Nothobranchius furzeri: one gene and its partners. The protein of the gene in region 2 purifies or fractionates together with the protein of the main gene of each other region. This does not show direct contact. Links are inferred from orthologs where the notes say so. Each region holds a gene or a part of one and is shown on either strand. Other genes may lie near its edges.

Evidence for each region.
Region 1: the proteins of ptpn3 (region 2) and shkbp1 purify together in Homo sapiens (affinity purification with mass spectrometry; 4 studies listed by BioGRID and IntAct, with this or other methods). This does not show direct contact. The link is inferred for Nothobranchius furzeri from reciprocal best matches to the Homo sapiens genes PTPN3 and SHKBP1.
Region 3: the proteins of ptpn3 (region 2) and vang-like protein 1 purify together in Homo sapiens (affinity purification with mass spectrometry; 4 studies listed by BioGRID and IntAct, with this or other methods). This does not show direct contact. The link is inferred for Nothobranchius furzeri from reciprocal best matches to the Homo sapiens genes PTPN3 and VANGL1.

What each region holds. Positions count from the first base shown.
Region 1 is NC_091753.1:56,774,683-56,778,333, forward strand, and holds part of shkbp1 (SH3KBP1-binding protein 1), read right to left. Parts: intron 2,266-3,651; coding exon 2,185-2,265; intron 2,109-2,184; coding exon 1,938-2,108; intron 1,863-1,937; coding exon 1,772-1,862; intron 1,612-1,771; coding exon 1,421-1,611; intron 1,320-1,420; coding exon 1,204-1,319; intron 811-1,203; coding exon 723-810; intron 639-722; coding exon 522-638; intron 1-521.
Region 2 is NC_091745.1:79,125,381-79,129,031, forward strand, and holds part of ptpn3 (tyrosine-protein phosphatase non-receptor type 3), read right to left. Parts: intron 1,760-3,651; coding exon 1,603-1,759; intron 1,520-1,602; coding exon 1,344-1,519; intron 1,110-1,343; coding exon 1,019-1,109; intron 838-1,018; coding exon 776-837; intron 687-775; coding exon 540-686; intron 1-539.
Region 3 is NC_091754.1:55,592,991-55,596,641, forward strand, and holds part of vang-like protein 1, read right to left. Parts: exon of another isoform or gene 3,080-3,651; intron 3,016-3,079; exon of another isoform or gene 2,953-3,015; intron 2,850-2,952; exon of another isoform or gene 2,765-2,849; intron 2,672-2,764; exon of another isoform or gene 2,500-2,671; intron 1,231-2,499; exon of another isoform or gene 1,200-1,230; intron 1,115-1,199; exon of another isoform or gene 1,059-1,114; intron 619-1,058; coding exon 465-618; intron 400-464; coding exon 165-399; intron 88-164; coding exon 1-87.

The DNA of each region.
Region 1 (3,651 bases), on a different chromosome or scaffold from region 2:
AGCGTTGCTGCCTTTCACAGACACTTTTTCTGCACGTGCTGCAAACAGGATAGCCGTCTTCTATCAGCTGTCCCTCGGCATTCTTCAAATATCCAAAAAACGCCCGTACTTCCCACTTTGTCTTCTTTGAGGGATAATAAATGTCCTGAGCGCTGCCGTCTCCTCCTTTGGCCATTATTTCAGCTTTAGCTTCAAGAAAGTTTTGGTTGTAAACAACAAAGTGCGCATGTGCCGCCGGCAACTTCAGCAGATGATACGGTGGCTGGTAAGGGTCACCGCGCCTACACCGCAGCCACGCTAATCCACCGAGATAATATAGTTTTTTAAAACAAGACGGTTATTATTATTGTCAACTTTTTTAACCGGGGTTTACCGCTACACCGGTTACCGTGACAACCCTAGCTGTTAGTGAGGCTTCGTTAAACTTGTCCTTTGATTTGGCTCTCTAAGCTCAGCCGAGTCCTGACTGGTGTCTCCTTCAGCCAGAGCAGAACCAGCTGACCAGTGCTCTACTCGCTTACTGGTTTTGGGAGTCAGGTAAACGCTGAGGGCGGTGATGGCGTCTTCAGTTGGGTCTCTGTAGAGCTCAGTCACTAGCAGGTCGTTGTCCTTCATCCTCAGAGGAAACTTCTGAACATCTGACCAACAAAAAACACACAAACGTCCAAAACTGCAGCAGTTTACAGAAAACAAGGTGCTGGTCTTCAGGTGGAGCTTCTCACCGATGTAGTAGATGGACCCGTTGTTGCAGCCCAGGATGAGGAAGGAGCCGGCGGTGTCGTAGCTGCTGATGGGAACCACGTCCTGGTTCTGCAGAAAGACCAGAACCAGACCGGGTCAGAGACAAACCACAACGCTCCGCGGCCTCGTTTGACCTCAGATCTAAAGCTTGTTAGGAGGAACCCTTCCTGTGATGAGAAATGATAAAAGACCTGCAGTGTGGCACCTTCCTGAGTCAGAGGACTTCGACTGGTGATGATGTTGATGATGATGAAGGCCTCTGGTTCTTTTTAATGAAATGTTTTTGGGTAAAAGATCTGAAACCTTCACAATTTACTACAAAATGCAAAAATTCAGCTAAAACAGAAACATGCTTCAGGTTAAAGAGTTTAATGTTCTGATGTCAATTTCCTTTGTTTTCTATATTTGTTTTGTAACACACACACACACACACACACGTGACCCAAGTGTTACTCTCCCCACCTGCCAGTGTTTGGTGACGGCGTTCCAAACCCCGACCTTCCCTGTGTGACTGGTGGCGATCAGCTGATTACCAACGAAGAACAGTGCCTCAGCCGGCACATTCAGGCTGAACACACCTGCAGGACCAACAGAACATCAGATCGCAGGTAACTATCAGATCCAATCAGAACCCTGAATCACCCGGCTCTGTCCTACTACCCCCCCCCCCCCATCGTACCGATTTCATTCCCATTCCCGTCTGGACAAATGGTCCACAGGATGATCTCTGTCACCGAGGCAACAGCCACCATCTTGTCGTTGTCCCCTAGTGACCCTCCCATCACTCTGGCGTTGAGAGCGACTCTGTCGATCACGCAGTCGAGGCGAGGGGAGGTGAAGACCTGCTGCCACCCGGTCGACTCCTTCACTCTGAAACGGGAGGAAACGGCCGTGACTGAAGCGGATACAGGGAAACATCCGCATTTCCACTAAGAGAACACTAACCCATAAACAGCCAATCAGAGGCTGGTTCTGATCACTAATAATCCACCTTTAATCCTGAAAGCTGGACTTAATCTGACAGGTTTACCTGTAGCAGACAACAAACTGAGCGTACGCCACGGCGATCCAGTTATGATGCCCACAGATGATCCGAACCAGGCCGGAATCCGACGACCCACCTGCGCACACCTCAGAGACCTCAGCGTGGGCCAGAACCGCTCACAGACCTTAACCAGAAAAAAGAATCGCGTTACCTGCTGATGATCTCTCCTCCGTGCTGATCCTTCCCAACATCCCAGAGATCCCTAGGTTGGGCGGCATCGTGTTGCTGCGTCGGACCGGTACACGCTCCCCTGATACAGCCCGACCCGCCACGAACTGCGATCCAGCCACACTGTGGCGGTTCCGCCGCTTCACTGGGTAAACTGAGACGACACACCGTCACTTCAGACGCTGAACTGGAGCTCTGCTGAAGGTCAACTGGGAGGACAGGTGTCCTACCTGGTGGAGGCAGGTAACCGTTGAACAGAACGTTTCCACAGGAGGACCGGTCCAATTCGTCACACAGCTGCAGCTTGCGAACTAAATAATGCAAAGAAATAATACTGATCATTTTAAACGGATAAAAACTCCCGATCCAGACCAGAACTCCTAAGAACCAAAGCTGCCCTCGCAGGAGGAGGCAACACGGTTGCCATGGAGACTAACAGTAAACTAGCCAGAGGGAAGAAAGCATACCAACTTTATTTATAAAGCACATTTAAAAACGGCATGGCAGCAGACCAAAGTGCTGTACAGGATAAAAAGTAAAAACACTAGAAAACAAGACACCGTCAACAATAAAATACACAACAAGGCAGATAATCACGGTCAATAAAAAGACACAGTAAAATAATAAAAGTCAGGGATTTAAAAATGCCTGGTCGAAAAAGTGAGCCTTAAGCAGCGACTTGAACCGGAGGAGGGATGGTGCCAGCCTCACTGAAAGAGGAAGAGCATTCCAGAGCGTAGACAAAAGCACGCTGCCTCCGCGTTTTCTATTTCATTGTTGGAACGCGAAGCAGCAGGCGATCAGCAGACCTCAACGCCCGGTTTGGCACATAACGAGTCACAAGATCCGACAGGTAATCCGGAGCCAGACCACTCAGGGCCTTAAAAACAAAAGTCAGGATTTTAAACTTGACTCTGAAGTTTACGGGTAGCCAGTGGAGCTGCGTCAGTACAGGTGTGATGTGGTCTCTTCTAGGGGTGTTTGTTAAAAACCTGGCTGCCGCGTTCTGTACCACCTGAAGCCTGTTGAGAGCGGAGGCAGGTAAACCAATTAAAATGGAATTTGCATAATCCAGTCGGGAGATGATAAAAGCATGGATTACGGATTCACGGTTGCACGGCTCCAGTTTGTGCAGAACTCTGTGGCTAGGTTCCTGACAGGCACTAGATGTCGAGAGCACATTACCCCAGTGCTGACTGCTCTGCACTGGCTCCCGGTGCAATATCGGGCTAAGTTTAAAATCTTAACTCTCGTTTATAAGGCCCTCCAGGGCAGTGCCCCCTCGTACATTACTGCACTTTTGCAGAGGTATGCTCCGTCTCGGTCTCTTCACTCAGCCGAGCAGGAACTTCTGGTTGTCCCCCGGTCGAAATATCGATCGAGGGGTTGTCGTGCTTTTCCTGATCTGGCTCCAACTCTGTGGAACGAATTGCCACTGAGCATTAGGCAGGCACCGTCCCTTCAAGTCTTTAAGTCTCGTTTAAAGACTCATTTTTATTTGATTGCGTTTTAGCGCTAGGGTTCTTTTAATTGCCCTGACATCATGGTTTTAACTATTCTTCTTTTGAACCCAGATGCTTGATTTTATTTTGTCCAACATTTATTTTTGATCGATTAGTCTTATTCCGATATCTCTCTTTATCTGTAATAGTGTTTGCTTGATATTTTATGATTTTATGTTTTTATCCTGCTTTTAT
Region 2 (3,651 bases):
TCTCAGGAAATCAAACTCGTATTCAAGCGCCTGCGCTGCTGCGCGGGGCGGTCCGGGGAACAACAGCAATTCATCAGCGGCAGGATGTGAACTGAAAGCCAATCTGTGTGTTTGTTTGTGCAGAACAAAGAAACTCTGGACACTTGATGAGCTTCAGGGAAATGATCAGTTAATGAGAACATCTGGTTACCAGGCAACAGGCAAGCTGAGAAGAACGCATGTTCACTCAGGGAGCACCTTTATTTCTCCCTGCGTCCGTGCGGACGAGAGTTATTCATCTCCCTGGGATCTGGTCCACACTCACGTTTTGCTGAGAAACCCAGTAATTGCTCACAACCGTGCCGTCTGATTGCGGTTGTGTGCAAACATCACCGCTGGACCCCCTCATTACCGTAATAATCACGTATCGAACTGAACACGACGCAGCATGTAATAATTAGCCAGTGGTGCTGCAGTAATCACCGCGTTAATGCACCACCGACAGGGTCGTGTAATTTCAACAGCGCCTGCTTGCTTCAGAGCAACAAAGTGTATTTTACCCGTCCCCTCTCTGTCAGCGTCGTGAGCATGATGATGGTGTGTATCTGCTGTTCCCACACGGTCTGCCAAAAGTGAGCGAAGGTCTGCGGCAGTGGACCCTGAGATGCAATGTAACGTAAACACACACCGGACGCCGGCGGCGCCACCTGAGAGACAAACAAACAAACACAAACAGGATGAGCCTAAACGAACGGTTCAGGCAAGGAGGAGGCGGTTCCACGTGAGCAGAGTTCACCTTGATGTGGCTGGCGTTGATGTAGTCCTCCTGACCCCGCAGCACCACCCTGGTGGCATCGTCTGAAACAAGAGCGAGACAGCAGCTGGTGAGGGTCAGAACAGAGCCGTCAAAGCGCCGCCGCCACTTAAACATCAGGACCCACGGCCAGATCCAGTTCAGGGTCGGAAAAGGCGGCGGAGAGACGAAGCTGAGAGGGGTGGAGGGCGGTGGAAGCACCGGGCAGTGAGGGAGCAAACTTACAAGGTAAAACATCCCTGTATCGATTCTTCTCCACGTTCTCAGGCAGCCGTGCACAGCTTAGTGACAAACCAGGCTTCCTCCTGTATAAATTCTAGGAATTACAAGCATGCAAACACACACAAACATGCAAGTAAACAAACAGTAACATCCAAAAGCTGAACACAAAACAAGAATCCAGGCCAGCCACAGCTTCTGTTTCTACGAGCAGCTTCCGGCTGAAGATTAGGGCCAACATCTGTCTGACAAGCAACGCTCTCATCATGACTCTCCACATCATTACGAAAAGACAAACGCTCATTAGCCCTTTTGCTAAGATTTGAAATACCTCAAAGTGGAAGCACAGAGTGCCAGACTGGATCCCTCTCTCCAGCTGTTTCATCGACTCCTCCTGCGTGGCGACCCGTTCCGACTGACCAGGAGACGCCGGCTTGTTTTCCTGTGACTGGATGGTGAGCGTGAGGGCAGTAGGCAGCTGCAGCGAGGACGCCACCCGGCTTGAACCTGGATTAGAAGGACAGTTCAAGGCTGATTACATATTCAAACATAAAAAAACCCACAAATTTCAGAGCTTTCCTCCGGATCACCTTTGCGTCTGATGAGCAGGGCCAGCTGTCTGGAGTGCGATTCTCTGCTGGCCCGTATGAACATGACGACCTGGTCGTGCGTGTGCTCGGATATGTCTCGACCGTTGATAAGAACCACCAGGTCTCCCTCCTGGAGTCTGGGCTCAGACCGGCCAGCCTAAAAATACCAGAGACATTTGAAATATTAGAAAAACATCCAGCTCCCTGCCAGATGTGGACCTCAAAAGTTGATATTTTCATGTAAACTGAAAAATCTCATTTTAATCCAGATTCCTAAAAAACCTGATGTTTTACATTTAAAAGCCTGTTATAAACCAAACGTACTAACGCGTTTCTAGTTCGACCCTCTAACCTAAAACTAGACAAAATACAGCTTGAAGTTCAGGATTTGTATTTTTGATCATGAATTATTTTAGCAAAACGATTATTTTTATCAGCTGTTGAAATCATTGGAAAACTCTGCCAACGCAGAAGTGACAAACATGTAGTCCCCCCTCGTCCACTAGGGGCTGGCTCCAGAAAGGTGAAACTTCCCATTGACACTCATGTTTATCGTCATGGCAACTCGGGGGCAAATCCTTCTGTGTTTCATGTACTTTGATGTAACTAAAGCTTGAAAGTGTGAATATTTAGTGGCGTGTCTATCTCACTGACAGATAGCAGATGAGCCGTTTTATCGCCACGAAAAACACAAGTCTGGAGGAGTTCTGCTGTGTGGTGGAATTGCTAATGCTAACCGTTAGCTTCTACTAGCGGAGACGTTCTCTGCTGTTTCCTGGACACTAAACCAACAACAGCCTTCCCCGTCGTGAGTCCAGATGGGTGAATCCATGAATGTTAGTGACAGGGTGACGTAGATCTGTCAGGATTTTCTATCCTAGAGTTTCACCGTCTGTTTTCTATCAGAAGCTACTGCAGGAGATAGGTGTAGGAGACTATTTTCATGTTCAGCTTGCATGAAACACTCAGCATTTAAAAAATGTTTTCTCAGTGAACCACACCTTTAAAGTGACAATGTGTAGTTTTTACCATTAATCTCTGGAAATATCCATCTAATGTTGTTGTAAACAAATTAAAAGATGCCCAGCGGATTACAATTTTTGGCAGTTTCACAACATATAACCATGGGAGTGGGTCCAAGTCTCTGGGCGGCGCCATATTAGATGCCATGTTTCCTTCTACGGAAGTCCGTGTGGACAAAATGCATTTACTGATTTGGTTACAGAACTTTCACCATTAATAAACATTGATTTACACGTTTACCTCTTCACTCGTTGCCGGTGATGAAAGGGAATCTGGTGTTCTTGTTATTTTTGCTGGATGTTGTGCTCCCAGAGATGTTTGACCCTAATGGCCATTCGTAGGTAAAGTCTTACTTGAACACAATCATTTAGGTATGCTCTGCCCCCTATCGCCAGGGAAACTACACACTGTCACTCTAAACAGCAGTTTTCTGGCTAAAAGCTCCCACCAACCCCCGTTAGCTATGTTTAGCTCTGTTAGCTCATAGCTACATTGGGTCAGAACATCTGCTCCACTCTCAGCCCCATTTCTGTATTTCCCCAGACCAGGGGTAGGCAACCCCGGTCTCAGAGAGCCGCAGTCCTGCATGAACTTGCGGCTTCTAACTGGCTGAACACACCTGATCCAGGTAACCAACAGCAGAAACAACACCTGGCCAGGGTTGCCAGACCGATCATGCCACACAACGATCTTGTAAGATTTATCAATCAATCAATCAATCAATCAATACTTTATTAATCCCAGAGGGAAATTAGAGACCCAAACTCCATCTACAGAAATCCCAAATTAAATTCTTCTGTTGGTTATGTTTGTACTAGCGATGGGTACCGAATTCGGTACTTTTTAAGGTACCGACCGAATTCCACAGTACCGACTAAGCACCGATTCACGTCATTTGAAACGGTGCGTCGTTTCGGTACCCGTCCTTCATAACGAGAACTTGCCTAGACAGCTGCGCATGCGCAAGAGCGTTATGTCGTCGGTCGCTGCGAGCGAGTTGTAAACAGAGCAGCATGGTAGAAAGAA
Region 3 (3,651 bases), on a different chromosome or scaffold from region 2:
GCTGATGAGCGTCCACCGTCGGGCCATCCAGTGGTTCTGGTTGTACTGCAGGGTGGGGCCTGGCGTCAGGTAGCTCTCCAGGAAGGCCTGGAGGAGGGGAGAAGAACAAATGAGTAACAGAGTCTTTCCAGAGCCAGCAGGAGACTGATGGAAGCAGTTTGGACCTTGGGCGTCATGTTGTTGGTGATGCAGAAGGCCAGGTGCTGCTGGATGCTCTCCATGCTGTGGCAGTGCTGCTGCTTGGTGGTCCTCAGGTACTTCTGCAGGGCCCGAGCCATGGAGGGGAAGATGGCCTGCGCCGCCTCTCTGGGGTCCATCACGTCCCCGGGAGCCTTTTTCTGCTCGTCGTCCTGCATGCGTTTGATGTGGGTGAAGGCCTCCTCTACCGCCACCACCAGGCTGGGAGGAAACACACAGTTACTCCTGCTTCTTCACAGAATCCTCGAGCTGCTCCTCGGACTCACCGCGCTTTGCGTTTGCGGACCCGCTTCTCGTGCTCCACCTCTTCGTAGTACAGCTCGTTGTGGCTGGTGTCACGGCGCCGGGCGGCGGCTGCGATCATGGCTCTGGACTGGGACTGGGCGAGCCCGGCGGATGCCGCTGCGTTGTTCCCTGGACCTGCAGGGACACGGAGACAGCATGGTAGACACAAAGATGATAGAGAAGACAAAAAAATACAGTCTTTGATGAGGACATGAGGTGAAACGTGAGGAGAGAGAGCTGTTTGTCTGAGCAGCGGGGGGTGGGGGTGTCGCTTAATAATGCACCAGAAACGTTGTTCTACTTCCTTTAATCAGCTGTTACATGAAAACCCGGAGAGCTGACAGAACGGCAACAAAGAGCCGTAAATGAAACGGTTCAAAGCTCAGAGATTGTTTAAAATGATCTAAAATAATCCTCCTACGCTTCTAACTGTTGACATTTGCTCCAATTAAGAAAGGACCTGAAGATTTTTACATTTTCAGAAAGAGGCTGCTGATGTTGATGCGGGTTAAAAGCAGGCTGAGGCGGTGAATTATTAATGCGGGGGCAGGGATCGAACTCCAACAGAATAATTCATGAACACAGAGGGGGAAGATCTCACCCGCTCAGCTCATAACGAGAGAATCTGGTGGTGAGTGTCAGGACAACGGAGACGCTGAAGGCTTTTATCCGTGTGTAAAAACTAGGAAAAGATCCGTTTATGATTAGGTCTGCAGGACCGTCTCGTATCGCAGAGTCAACGATAAGGTCGGTATAGATCGGGGGTCGGCAACCCGCGGCTCTAGAGCCGCATGCGGCTCTTCCATCATCTGATGCGGCTCTCTGAGCTTGTAAAATAATGAATGGATTTTTAAATAAAATGCTTTATAATTTACTGCATTAATTTTACATCTGTAAGCCAATTCTAAATGTAAAGATTGTCTACGTAAACCTGAACAGGTCCAACCCGGTCTTACTGTGAGACCGGGTTGACGCGTCACGCTTGTGCGTAATCATAGGCGCTCCCTGAGCTGACGAGGTTGTGAGATTCTGGGATTCTCCTTAGACAGGCTCCTGGATGCGTCGCCACATTGGAGACAGGAACAAGCGCTATTCAGCCAAAGTTTCATAATCAGGGAACATTTTCTAAGTGACAAGTCTCACTTCAGTCGGAGGAATCTTCCTGCATGCGCTCTGGTTCTGCGACGCGCTCCAAGCCCCTCTCCACATCTTCAGCTCGCTGTGGACCTTATGTAGTACATGCTGACAGTGAGCTGCGCTGAGCAGTGTCCAGCTCAGATGTTCAGATGGGAATCTTTTCTTGAGTGATTTAGCTACATCTGTGATGTGCGTAGAATAAAATGTCAGTTCGTCTGCATGCGTCGGGGTAATTCTTTCTATTCTTTCTCCGTCAAAATAAACGGTCAAATACGGGAACTATCCGGTCAACACAACACAAGCCCTGCTTTTAACTGTTCTGTTTTCTTGTGAAAATTGTCGCAAAGAGATATAATTTAACTTGATTAACACCAGAGCCAGGCGCACTGCGCCATTGTCTCCGTCACTGTAAATGAGGGAAAAACAAAATGATCGGATCCTTTTTTGACCTTCCCCACCTACAAAGTTTAATTACAACAGGCAGAGACGGGCTACAGCTTCTGGATCCATTTTATATAAATCGTTTTATTGATTATCGTCTTATGAAAGATAACTTTGACGTACACGAGCGACCGGTACTGGCTGCTGTCACCTGTTGTGATTAGTTAAAGCAGCTCTCAGATGTCTGAGGGTAGGCCCCGCCAACAACGCTGTGGCTGCTGTGGCTCCCAGTGTTTTCTTTACTGTGGGAAACGGGTAATAATGGCTCTTTGATGGGAACAGGTTGCCAACCCCTGGTATAGATCATCAGCACAAGTGTCTGGGCACAACGTGATGCCACGATATATTGTAACGACGTTCAGGTTGTCTGTATATTTCATTAAATTTTAGAGTATTCTGTTGATAAGTGTGCAATGTCGCTGCTTCAATCCGTTATAGTCTGTGGGGGTGTTTCAAACCAGCCTCGACGCGGCAATTTTCAGGCACGTCCCAGAAGCGGAACGCCGCGCCGCTAAAGATAGAATCAGATTCTATTTTTGCAACAACCCGCTTCTGGGATATGTCAACTGCCGAACAGGAAATGACACACGGTTTCAGAGTAAAATGTCAGGTAATTTTCACAATAAGTCTACTGCAGGGATGCAATTTCATAGCTATGTAGTTTACGTCTATATGTGTGAACTCAAGGTTTATTTACTCCCAGCATCGTTCCAGAAGTGCAGTGGTGTGTTTTTCATGGCTTTAATCCTGGCAGTGGAGAGGAACAACATCATATACGACATCAAACAGTGATATAAAACGTGATCTCCCTCTTTTTGGTTTAACAGCAGATGGCATAAACAAACCGTGACTTTTGAAGACTCAAGGTATCTTGTGATCTCGCAAGTTCAGTGAGAAGCACGGCGGAAAAGCCGTTCTGCAGCTGAGACTCCCCCCGGTGTGTTTTGGCATGCTGTGAAGCTAGCGAGTAAACCGTTCACTTGCGTTCTGCAAGGCTGATGCTTCTACTGTGAAGTAGGGGTAAGTCTGACAATACTGATAACTCTGATGAAAACATTAACTCTAACAAGTCTGATAACTTCAAATCAGACAATAGCGATAAGTCTAACAACGATATATCTGACAATAAAGATAAGTCTGATAACGATATATCTGACAATAAAGATAAGTCTGATAACGATAAAACTGATGATAACGAAAAGTCTGATAACAATAAAACTGACAGTAAAGATAAGTCTGATAACGATAAAACTGACGATAACGAAAAGTCTGATAACAATAAAACTGACAGTAAAGATAAGTCTGATAACGATAAAACTGACGATAACGATAAGTCTGATAACGATAAAACTGACAATAACGATAAGTCTGATATCCACAAAACTTACGATAACGATAAGTCTGATAACGATAAAACTGACGATAACGATAAGTCTAATAACGACAAAACTGACGATAACGATAAGTCTGATAACGATAAAACTGACGATAAAGAAAAGTCTGATAACAATAAAACTGACAATAACGATAAGTCTGATAACGATAAAACTGACGATAATGATAAGTCTGATAACGATAAAACTGACGATA